3 linked regions of the Drosophila melanogaster genome follow. The protein of the gene in region 1 interacts with the protein of each later gene in a pairwise test. Each region holds a gene or a part of one and is shown in the gene's direction. Other genes may lie near its edges.

Region 1 (4,056 bases):
ATTTATGAAACATTAACGCAAATCTGTTGCAGATCGAGTTCTGTTTAATAGTCTGTGCGCTGAGGGCCCGATTTAAATTAATTTCGCATCTGCCACTGTGGCGTATACGCAATATCTGGCACAGCCACTGCGGAGGCGAAAAAGTACATCCTCCGTTAATAAAACGGGGCCTAAGAATGCGTGGCTGTTTCATTTGTGTGTGGGAAATCCTGAACAACAGAATGTCATAATCATGTGAAATAAAACCATTCCAAATGGCAGCCAGCCAGTAACTGCGAGTGCATAGAACATGCTGACTGGCTGAGAATTAGCCCCTCAGTCTCGACACTCTGCCAGACATGGCAGAAACTCATTAGCCTTATTACACAGACACCATTCTGCGGCTAAAACTGAGGGGGCGGAACCGGGCGTAGCCCCCACATGCGTATTAACTATTCATGCCCACACACACACTCATTCACTTTCTCTCGCGCCGCAAAGACATTTGAATAATTTTGACAAATGTGTGATTAATTCAAACATTTTGGCAACTAAGGCTGTCATTTTTTATGTGAGCACGACAGCAAATTAGCACTTCATATACAGGCACTGACTGGCATTCTCGTTACGGATATGATATGTGCCATTAGAACGCAACATGAAGGCTGAAACAACTTCTTTTTGAGTCGTGGTTTTATTAAAGGAAGGGAACAAGCATGTTGATTAAATTTAGAATAAAGAAAATGTGTAAAATATATATATTCGCCATAAGACTTAGATGACAATTAACCTTTCCGAACCAGCCAAGTCCTCTTCAAGTCCCCACAATGACTGCCTGATTGGGGCTTGGGCGATTAAAGACCCTGACAAAGTGAAATTTATGGCACTCAGCACACTTAAAGCTAAACGTCGGCCGTTTTTTGCTGCCTTACACTATGCATAAGGCCAGCGAGCAAAATATGAAACAGAAATCAGCCAGAGAAGGCAGAAATGAGCGGACAGGGGCAGAAAAGTGCACACAGCAAATAGAAGCGGCAATATAAAAGAGTCGCATGCCGGAAACGACAAACGACAGTCGGCGGTGGGAGGTAGAAAGAGGAAGCCTAATGCCAATGCCAAACACCGGATGCGGATGTGTGACACATGGCCGAAGGGGCGACCTGGCCACCCCATCATACCAATCCCTTTCCACCGACGACGACTGGCAACATACGCACAATGTCATTGTCGCTCGCTTTAAGTAGGCGACTTTATTAAGCCGAGGACACTGAGGAGCACCTCCAAAGTGGCAGGAGCGCAGCAAAGGCACATGGCACACCATTTTAGAATGACAAAAACGGGCACTGTGGCACCGGTTTAAGCATCTTAAATTTGAATATTAGTTATTATTAATTACAATATACAAGATCATGTTTTTTCCATTAGAAGTAGATGTGAATATTAAGAAGAGCTTCCTTTTTCAATGGTGTTTAAATTAAGATTATTTACGTTTAAGCCCCTCACTAGGCATATAAATTATAGCCGCACGTTTAAATCAGTTTTCCGAGTTGGCTTAAGTTGCAGCCTGAATTCTGAAACCCGAAGCTCCCAAGGTGGCCTTAAATTTGCGCGGTGCTTCGCTGAAGCGAAATTCCCACTGTGCATTAAGGGTTTGCAAAAAGAACAAACGGCATAATAGGCTGGCAGGACACCTGGGCACGTGTGTGCTGTTGTTTTGACTGGCCTTGCCAGTACTCACCTGGCATAAAATTAAGCCATGACGACGCGCTTGTCGCCTGGCCTGGCTTCTTATTCCGGGGCAAAGGTCGTTTACGGCACGGCCACAATTTGTTGCTTTTTGATATTTATTTAGACGGCGCTGGCGCATGAGAAGTGAAAAGCGCACAGCCCAGTCGGAACATAAATCAAAAGCAGAAGACGGCGGAAAAACCGTGAAGGAAAAGCCGCAGCGGAAAGGGTAAACGCTGCGGCAACAATGGAAATCGTTTTCAGCTGCAGAGCTTGCGACTTAAACTGGTTATTTATGGCAGGCCAAGGGCGAAGAGTTGAGGCTGCAAAGCCCAGCTGGGTTTTCCCGATCCAAACTATTGCCGGGTAAAAAATTGAGAGAAAGTGTAATGTCCCACGACACCAAGAAAAAACTTTTTGCTTTTTGAAGAAAGACACAGGACCCGAAAAGTATGCATTAGCTCACACCTTATGTTCCTATAATTTCCAACCAGTTCAAGCCACTTTCTTACCTAGTGCATGTGGCATTAACGGGAAAGGACATTAAATTAATTGAATCATGGATAGTAACATGGAACCTTGGTCCTTTGCCCTCAATTTCGATGACAGCGATAAATCGTCGGATAACGAGAGCCACTCTTCGACCAGATCCTCGAGCCGCTCCAGTGACACCAGCATAGACACCAGCTCCGTGGAGAAGGAGCCAGCTAGCGTAATTGAGAGCCAGTCTGTCCCTGGCGGAAGCTACGATGTACGTAACGACTTCCCCAATTAGGACGCATTAATCGATCCGTACTTTTCCCCCTATCAGATTATCTCCAAGACCAACATGCTGCAATTTGTGCAGAAAATCGATGCAAATTCATCGCTGGACGATCAAGGTTGCGATATGATGGCCAGAATAGCCGATGCCTTTGTTAACGACATATCCATGCGCATAGTTAAGTTGGCCAAGTATCGAAAGAGCGACGTTAGCGTGCTGGACCTGAAGTTCATCCTCAAGCGGGAGTTCAACATGGAGTTCCCAATTGAATAAATGTCCAATAAAGGGAAAAATAATGTAGAATTTGAAAATTGTGGAATGAATAAAATGTATGAATAACTTGGTTTAAAACTGTCAGAAAGGCAACAAGAATAATTGTTTTCTGCACCTAATTACCAATGTTAACCAGTGCAATTACTTTTTGGTCAATAAAAAAAATTTTATTTTTGGGTCAGTTTTGCATTTTTTATAAGGGGTACCATCATCAAAATTTGCAAAAATTGGCAAAAAATTAAAATTTCCAAATTGGAATGCCAATTGATTTGGGGATAAAATACAAGCTAAACGAGGTATGGCATTCCATATTTGGACAATTGTTTTAAGATTTATGATGAAAAAACTGAATATATTTGGGCGAAAAATCAAAAAGGTCTCTTTTGGCAAAAACGCAATATTTAAGAGTGGTATTTTCTTCACAACTCGCCTAAAAATAGTCAGATAAGTACAGGAATAACTGTTTTCTGCACCTAATTACCAATAGCAACAATTGCTATTACTTTTTGGTCAATAAAAAAAATTTTATTTTTGGGTCAGTTTTTGCATTTTTTATACCATCATCAAATTTTGCAAAAATTGGCAAAAAATTAAAATTGCCAAGTTTGAATGCCAATCGATTTGGGGATAAAATACAAGCTCAACGAGGTATGGCATTCCATATTTGGACAATTATTTTAAGTTTTATGATAAAAAAAAGGCCTCCTTTTAGACTGAAAAACGTGTTTTGCCAAAATATGGTTTCATCGTGAATTTAAAGAATACACAAAACTCGTGTTTAATACAAATTTGTTAGCTGACGAAAGAATTTTATTGAACATAATTGTGAATACCCATTGAGGTATCAATGAGAAAAGGTGCACGCCTGGTGATAAATTGCAAACCGGATCATCATGATTAAGCAATTAATAAATTCAATGGCCGCTGTCAAGAGCCGGACTCACATTCAATAGCCCCTGCAAAGCGGTCATCATGGTCTCGGCCACACTTTCCCGAGGACTTGACTCTCGCCCTTCAGCCGGGAATTACTCAACATAAAGTTAAAGTGCCATAAAAATGCCAGGGCGCATAATGCCACACACTCACACAGTGGCTGAAAAACACTCACATGCTCCCATTTACACACATGAACGGGCACTGGGTTCCTTTTCAGGTCCTTTGCTCAAAATAAAGGATAAGACCGAGGCGGAAATTTCAGAGCGATTTTTTCTCATATTTTTTTTTTATTTGGTGCTGCCTCAAGAATAAAGAATACTTCTTCGCGGGCCATGGGTATAGCGGAAAATGGCATAATTCTGGAGCTTCTCTCTCTG
Region 2 (3,182 bases), on another chromosome or scaffold:
TCGGGCGGTGCATAAGTAAATGCTATTAAGATACAATCGCGTACATACCTATAGGTATATATTTACACACATATATATCATATGCATGGCAGTATAAATCAACTGCGGCACAGCCATTCCACCGAAATGCGAAATCCGACTGCTGACAAGTGTCACCGGGAGATGCTATGACAAAGTGTCAAAAGAATGTTTGACATCTGACTGGCTGTCGCCGTCTCTTTCGCTCGAATAGCCCCCTCTCCATCGCTGTGCCGTGCGAGGGCAGCGTGTGTAGCCTGTCCAAATGTACATTTCTCATATCTCCTCGGCGTCCTCGTCTGCTGGTTCTTCCCTTCTTTCCATTTCTGCAGGGCTTTCATATTGCCGCCCTTTTTTTTATATTTATCCATATATTGCCCGGTTCCAATGGGATGCGGGATGGCCAGGTAGGGATTCGTTCGCAGGTGCGAGGCAAGTGGGTTTGGGGGAAAGGGATGTGCTTGCCACTGACAGCCTCACACGTTTCCTTTGCGTCCCCCTGGCGATCCTTTTAGCACCTGGCCCAGTCTCTGGGTGTATAATTTCATCTGCCAACTGATTGAGTGTCGCAGTTTTACTTATGTGAAAAACGAACAAGATTTTTATCTGGAAATCGGCAATAGAGAGCGGAATGTTTGCCGTGAAATGCGAAGTAAAGTTCTGCCCCGCTGACATATCGACAAGATCAAAGGGAATCGTGTGCTAAGGGCTCTCAGCTACACATATGCATAAAAATATCACTCATATCAATTTATTCTAGGTCTAGATGCCTCCAAAGCGAATGATCTTGCGAAAAAGTGGATATATGACAGATATAGGGTATAACTTTATCTATATTGTTATTTGGTATTTTTGATTATATATATTTTAAATATACTTTGAAGATTAATCTCTTTTTCTTTCGGTTTCGCAAACTCTATGTGTAAAGTCTCCAAACTTGGGGTTGAAGGTCAACATCCGAACCAGATGATGCCCAGAGGTGAATCCCCATTCGCAAGTGGGTCAGTGGAGTGCAATCCCAATTGACCCATTCGCAGGACCATTCCCCCAAAGGCCCAACAGCAGACTGAAGAGGCGCCCCAAGATGTGGCCAAGACCTGGTCCGATTGCCACCCAATTTGCAACATTTTGTGGCAGGTAAGTTAACAGCGAGAAAATGAAGGTCTCCGTAAATCGGTTGCTCTCAGTTGTGGATCGCAAGCTAACAGAGGGAGAGAGCCACAGGAACAGGATTTCCCCTCATGCCTGTGGAAGCCAACTTAACAGAGTGACTTTAAACAGGATTTCGATTTAACTTTTGTAAACCCAACTTGTTGACTGCCCAAATGAAAGCCCTGCAAATATTTGCCCAAAAATGATGTATATTGTGTGTCCTAACAAAACTTTTATGCTAACGAAATATTTCGGCACTCTAAAATAGCAAACGTCAGCGGTTGACCATAAATATTTTCGCCCCCACAGCTCGATGGGGATTTTAAATACGTTTACCGAAAAAAGGACTGTTTGTACGGGTCTCGGAATTAGATTAACCATCATAGCTTCAGGATTGAGGCAGAGCATTCCCACAAAGGACCGCACTCCCACACAAAATGTATGGAAATACTTTCCTGGCCGGAGCCACTTGCATAATTAACTGAATTTGTTTGTTGCCCCAAACCGCATTTGTGGATTGACTTTTCTGCTCGGATTGAGGTGGCAATCCTAAAAGTTTTCATAAGCTAAAAATATCATCGTACAGGGCAACCCGGAGTGTGAATATTGTCAGTTGTATTGCGTTCAAGTTGTCAAAACGATAGAAATTATAATAGAATTTTCCGATAGTCGATATCGAAGATATTTTTCTGAAATGGCTGCAAAACAAGAAACTGAACGGTCCTCGCCGGAAATTAATGCCTGCAAGGTGATTATTAAAAGGTTGTTTTCCAGTACCTATAAGAATATTGCTTGGGTTTTCTACGAGCCACTGGATCCGCAACTGCTGGGCCTCCACGATTACCATGAGATTGTCCGGGAACCCATGGATCTGTCCACCGTGAGGCATCGTTTGAATACGGGTTGCTATCTCAGTGCCGCGGATTTCGCCAAAGACATAAGGCTGATTTTCTACAACACCTATCTGTACACGAATCCCGATCACCTGTGCTACCACATGGCCAAACAGCTGCAGATCATCTTTGAGGAGATGTACTCCCAGGTGCAGCTCTACATCTGCTCCAGCGGCAGTAAAGTGCGTGCCGAGGAAGAGAGCTCCTCGGATGAATCGGACTCATCATCGCCGGAGGACGAGGTGAACGGCTCGGAGGTGTCCCCCTCCATAATGGGTGCGCCCCCCTCATGTACTCCAACCACCGAATGTACTCCGACCCCCGATTGGACTCCGCCGGCAACTTTGGAAACTTCGGAGCAGCAGGAGCCCTTTACAACCGAGGAGGACCTTGATCTGCACGCCAAGATTCAGCAGCTGGACGGCGAGGTGCTGCTCCACGTCATCCATTTCATTCAACGCATGGAGGGCGCCGAGTACTGCAACAAGGAGCTGGAGTTCGACATCTGCAAACTGAAGGTGCACACCAAACGCGGCATCCGTGATTATTTGGCCAGCAAGGGGTTCACCGGCAAAAGAGTGGCCCGCACCAAGCCCAAATATAATTGAGTTTCAGATTGAAAAAGAGTTTTAATTTATTGTAATCTAGTCCTTTTTGCCCAAAAGCTTCTCCTGCTCCTTTCTCTTGTCGCGCATGGAGCGGTAGTTCCGGAAATCCCCATTCCACGTCTTGTTACGCATGATCTCCAGCGGATTGGAAGCTATGTAAGCGAAAAAGGTCTTCCGAGGAGGTCCTCCGGGCACCAGATAGTTGCCCATGGCGTACCAGGCGGAGCTCACGATGCTTAGGTAGCGGGCATTCAACTGATCGTGATATGTTTGCTTAGCCAGGGCAGCCTGAAAAATATAGTTTTAGTATAGTAAAATATATGTACATATATATATATATATATACCGTATTCTTAATCTGCTTATAGAAGTTAAAGTTCTCCTTGGATCTGGGCAGGCGATCAATGCCCATAAGATCGGGACTGGCGGGACTGCTCTGGAGGATGGTGACCAGCTCGAATATCCTGCTCGACTCGGCTATACTCTCCTCGAGCTCCTTCTGGCTGTAGGT
Region 3 (4,452 bases), on another chromosome or scaffold:
AACCAACCAAAAACTCAACCACATATACACACTCACCATGCGACCACAAAGGAGCCGCAAACTGAACTCGCAGCTCGAGCGGGCCATACAAGAAGCAATGACTGAGTTGGATAACATTTCAGCCTCCTCGACACCCGCAGCCACATCCTCGTCATCCGCAACCATCTCTGCTGTTCCCGCATCAGCAGGACCAGCTGTAATTGGCGGACAACAGCAGTATCAGCAGCAGCAGCAGCAGCAACAGCAGCAGCAATCGCCCTCTTCAACGAACAACAAAATAAATGGACTCGCGCGGAGCAAGCGCCAGGCCAACACAAGTGGGGCCAGCATGGTGCTGACCACCAGTACGGCGGCCACATTGAGTGGCCTCTTCAATCAGCAGCGAGCCAAGCCCATACGCATTGCTCCGGCTCCACCGGTGGCCACAACGGGCACAGGCAACATTGGGACGATAGCAGCAGCTGGAGCTGCAGCAGCTTCAACTGGAACCGGGACAGCGACAACATCGGCCCGTTCCGAGATCCTGAAGCTGGCCAAATGACCAGCGCTGTCGACGTTATCGTCGACAGTGAGCACAGCCAGCTACACCCTCGTTATCGGGCATAAGTAGTGGGCAGCAGGAGGATACATACCGCCAGGCCATATATATAGAGTTATCCATACATATGTGACGATACGAGTATAGAGTTTAGTGTTAGGTGTCAGGCCTCAGCTTTGGAGTTTGTTGTTTTGTATTCTTTGACAGACTCCCCGCTTAGTTGCGTCGCTGGGCGGCGCGCGCCACACTTTCGAAATAGACAATAAAACAGCAAGATGATGTTAATGAAAATCAAGTTACAAAGAGCAGTTCTAACAATTAGCGATAGGTTTTTGGCTTCATAGACAGCGCCTCGGCGCAAATTTGCGTTGTTTTGTATATAGTAAGCACCAAAAGCTACCAAGATGTTTCGTATTAAGTATTTATTTATTGCATATAGATCCTTGGTTTTTATAGGTTTTGTTTTCGTTGCAATTTATAGACCTACCGATTATTTGTATAAATAGGTAACCTAAGCTGATACTTAGCCACTAAGTTTAAAGAACATCCACAACAATTACATTTGCCTTGTCAAGCAAATGATATCAAATCAAAAACAGCTACTGATTTTCATTTATTGTGATTGCACAAATTGTTTTTTAAACTCTAGAAGAACAAATTATTTATGTCAAACACAAAAAGGTAAAAATCATGAGAAAATTAGGAAGGGTGGAAAAAAATTATATTTATAAATTGTTATTATTTATTTAGTTGAAACTATTGTAAAATTATAATTGTAAAACAAAAATGAAATCACACTTAGCGGAAACACACGGAGCAAATAAAAATTTAAAAAACAAGATAACTCTTTGATTCATGGCCCGCTTGACCCAATCTCTAAAGAAATACACCCTTGTATACAAACTGGGAATGTTCGGAGTTCCACACGCGATTCCCACTGAAGTTATTCCCATGACTTGATACTAGCATCCGATCCCGATGTGACGAACCAGCAGAGGACCTCCCGAGTCACCATTGCATGTGTCCTTATGGTCCGGAGATCCAACACACAACTGGGACTCCGCCTTATAGCCTTCCGGCACATCCTCGTTTGCATCCAACCGTAACTTGTAAGTTGGTAAGTTGTACCAAAGACACTAGAATAATAGAATAGAATTATTCTAGTGTCTTTGGTTGTACTTACACATCTGAGTAGAAGCAGTGAGTAGCCGTTAAAACCACCTGATAACTTATCAAGGTGCCACCACAAAACCACTTCGTTTGATTCCCACTAGAGCTGTGATGATCCAGCCGAGCAACCATGGGAAACTTTTTTTTGGCATATCTGCGGTGGCAACAACTACCAAGGTCCCTGAAGTTGCACCTTAGAAAGGAGTATTATCACTCATACTAGACGATTGCTAGCTATCGAATGTAAGCTCACTGTGAATGTCACAAATTTTGACAGACCCAACGTAGCACAAAAAAGTCAGTGACAAAATCCGTCTGGTCATTTTTTATTTTCTACTACTCCCAACGGAGACTTACATACAATAAATGTAAATCACATCACCATAGACTCTAGTGTCAAGAGGTAATTATTAGTGTTTGACGAAAAGAAGTTCAGTAAAGTTCTGTATTCCGAGCCGAAAGGAGCTGTGAATTTTGAGTTGTTCAAAAAGTAAGCATTTGAAATAGTTCACATTCTTCCTAAATACCAAAAAAAAAAAAAACTGCTTTAGGCTAATATTAGGAGTTGGGTGACCTTACAAACCAGCAATGAATGAACTGCAGTCGAATAGCAACCAGCCTCCGCCGCGCAATGAGCCGTATCTGCAGCCGGTGAATGGCATCGTGCAACCGCCGGTGATTCCGCCACCGAATCGTCCTGGGCGAAGGACAAACATCCTAGAAGAGCTCAAGTCCGTGCTGAATTGCTTATGGCGCAATCGCTTCTCGTATCACTTTCGCCATCCCGTCGATTCTGTGAGCCTGGGTGTGCCCGACTACCATGCGGTGGTCAAGCATCCGATGGACTTGAGTACAATTAGGAAGCGACTGCACAACAAATACTACTGGCAGGCGAGCGAGGCTCTGGAGGATTTCAAGCTGATATTCGATAACTGCTTGTTGTACAATTTGGAGGGCTCACCGGTTTATCAGGCAGGGAAGCTTCTAATGGAGGCCTTTTACATGCGAATGGAGTCCATTGATTTGAGCACGGAGGTGGAACTAAAGCCGAAGTCGGAAAAGCGCAAGAGAAAGGCTACTGAATCATTGGATCAAGCCTCGACTTCGTTCTCAGCACCTCGAGCATCTAACAATTATTCTAGACAGTGGCTCTCGAGTAGTTCCTCATGGCTCTGTCCCCCACCGATGCCTGGCGGGGTGTCGTCATTTAATCCTTCATTCCGAAATTTCGTGGGTCCCAGCTTGATCCCATCTTTTATGCCCGATTCCTTGGTGAATCCCATGCAATCTATGCATCCAATGTCATCAATGATGAATCCGATATTCAAGAATAATTGGGAGACAAATGAAGCAATGGATCCACCGCCCTCAGAGCCAATTTCCTATCGTCCCTTGGATTCCTTGGCAGCACCCTTACCGTCCCCTCCAATGGAACCCATGACTTTGCCTTGGCCAACCCCAGCACCAGTTGAATCTCCAGCTTCATCGCCTCCTCCGGCTCCCAATCCACCCATTATCATCTGCTACAAGTCTCTCGACCGAATGATTGAAAAAAGCCACTCAGATCATCTTCTGAAGTCGATGGTAAAGCGAAAGCGCAAGCAGGTTACATGGGCATTTAATCAGGCTGACTACTGGCGAAGGTACTCCCAGAATCCGGACTACGACCACGATCGCGAAGAGAAACTCGATTGGAAGATACTACAGGAGCGCTTGGACTCCGATAACTTTGAGAGCTTTGATGGATTCGTGAGCTCTGTACGAAAGATGTTCCAGAACGCATTGCGTTGCTTTCCGGAAGATGGATTGGTCAAGGTTTCGGTGAAGAAAACCAATGAGATCTTTGAGAAAAGGCTGCCCAAGTACAGGGAGTTAATTGCCACGGCCAAGGAAAAGGGGCGTCAACTGGTGGCCAGCAGGGAACAAGATTTTCGTGACTCACAAAACCTGCTCATTAAACAAGAAAACGCTAATAAGAATTTCAAAGGATGGGTTCCAAAGCCATTTATTATTAAAACGGAGTCCCTGTTTGTGCAAGAACAGCGAGTGTACAAAATGGAGCCCCAGGATGTACAAGAATTTTCACCTGGTACGGAGCCGCTGGATGACCAAACTTATGATAGCGATTAAAGTGTGTAGAATTCTACCACGGAAATGAAAAAAAATGAAAATGCAAATTATTATAATTATTATTCATAAAGAATTGTTATTAGCCTAAAATATGATTCTAATTACGAGCTACCGACATTCTCATAGTTTAATTATACCTGTATTACTAGATGCGTTGAAAAGTATGGAACAGGCAGAAGGAAGCGATTGCGATCATATACATTTGTCTATACATTTTTGATCAGGATCAATAGCCGAGTCGATCTGGCCATGTCCGTCTGTATTGATCTCATTTTGCCACGCCCACACTTTTGAAAAATGCTTAGATTTTTCTTCGTGCAAAAAAAAACACTAGCCACGCGCCTCCTTTTGCTACAATACGCCCAAAACGGTCACGACTATTTTATTCCCCAGTATCTATCGATATCCCAGAAAAATGATGAAATGTTCCCTTTGGCATTCCCACTAGCTGAGTAACGGGTATCTGATAGTCGGGGAACTCGACTATACCATTTTCTATTGTTTTTAAATTCAAAATAAAACAGTCAAGCACCAAGGTGCCACCTCTCGGTTGACATTGCAACTACGCAGAGCTAAGGTGACCAGTCGTCTTGCAATCTGGCAGCCCTATAACA

What was found.
Region 2: the proteins of Taf12L (region 1) and tbrd-3 interact in a two-hybrid assay, tested with the Drosophila melanogaster proteins (one study listed by BioGRID).
Region 3: the proteins of Taf12L (region 1) and tbrd-1 interact in a two-hybrid assay, tested with the Drosophila melanogaster proteins (one study listed by BioGRID).

The regions. Positions count from the first base shown.
Region 1 is NT_033779.5:4,699,679-4,703,734, reverse strand, and holds Taf12L (TBP-associated factor 30kD subunit alpha-2), read left to right. Parts: upstream 1-2,249; 5' UTR 2,250-2,266; coding exon 2,267-2,458; intron 2,459-2,518; coding exon 2,519-2,743; 3' UTR 2,744-2,900; downstream 2,901-4,056.
Region 2 is NT_033778.4:23,326,239-23,329,420, reverse strand, and holds tbrd-3 (testis-specifically expressed bromodomain containing protein-3), read left to right. Parts: upstream 1-1,839; 5' UTR 1,840-1,864; coding exon 1,865-2,671; 3' UTR 2,672-2,682; downstream 2,683-3,182. Other genes in the region: CG9861 (uncharacterized protein), read right to left, coding at 2,708-2,959, 3,018-3,182.
Region 3 is NT_033777.3:23,891,097-23,895,548, reverse strand, and holds tbrd-1 (testis-specifically expressed bromodomain containing protein-1), read left to right. Parts: upstream 1-1,988; 5' UTR 1,989-2,198; intron 2,199-2,259; 5' UTR 2,260-2,296; coding exon 2,297-3,838; 3' UTR 3,839-3,952; downstream 3,953-4,452. Other genes in the region: sba (six-banded), read left to right, coding at 52-541.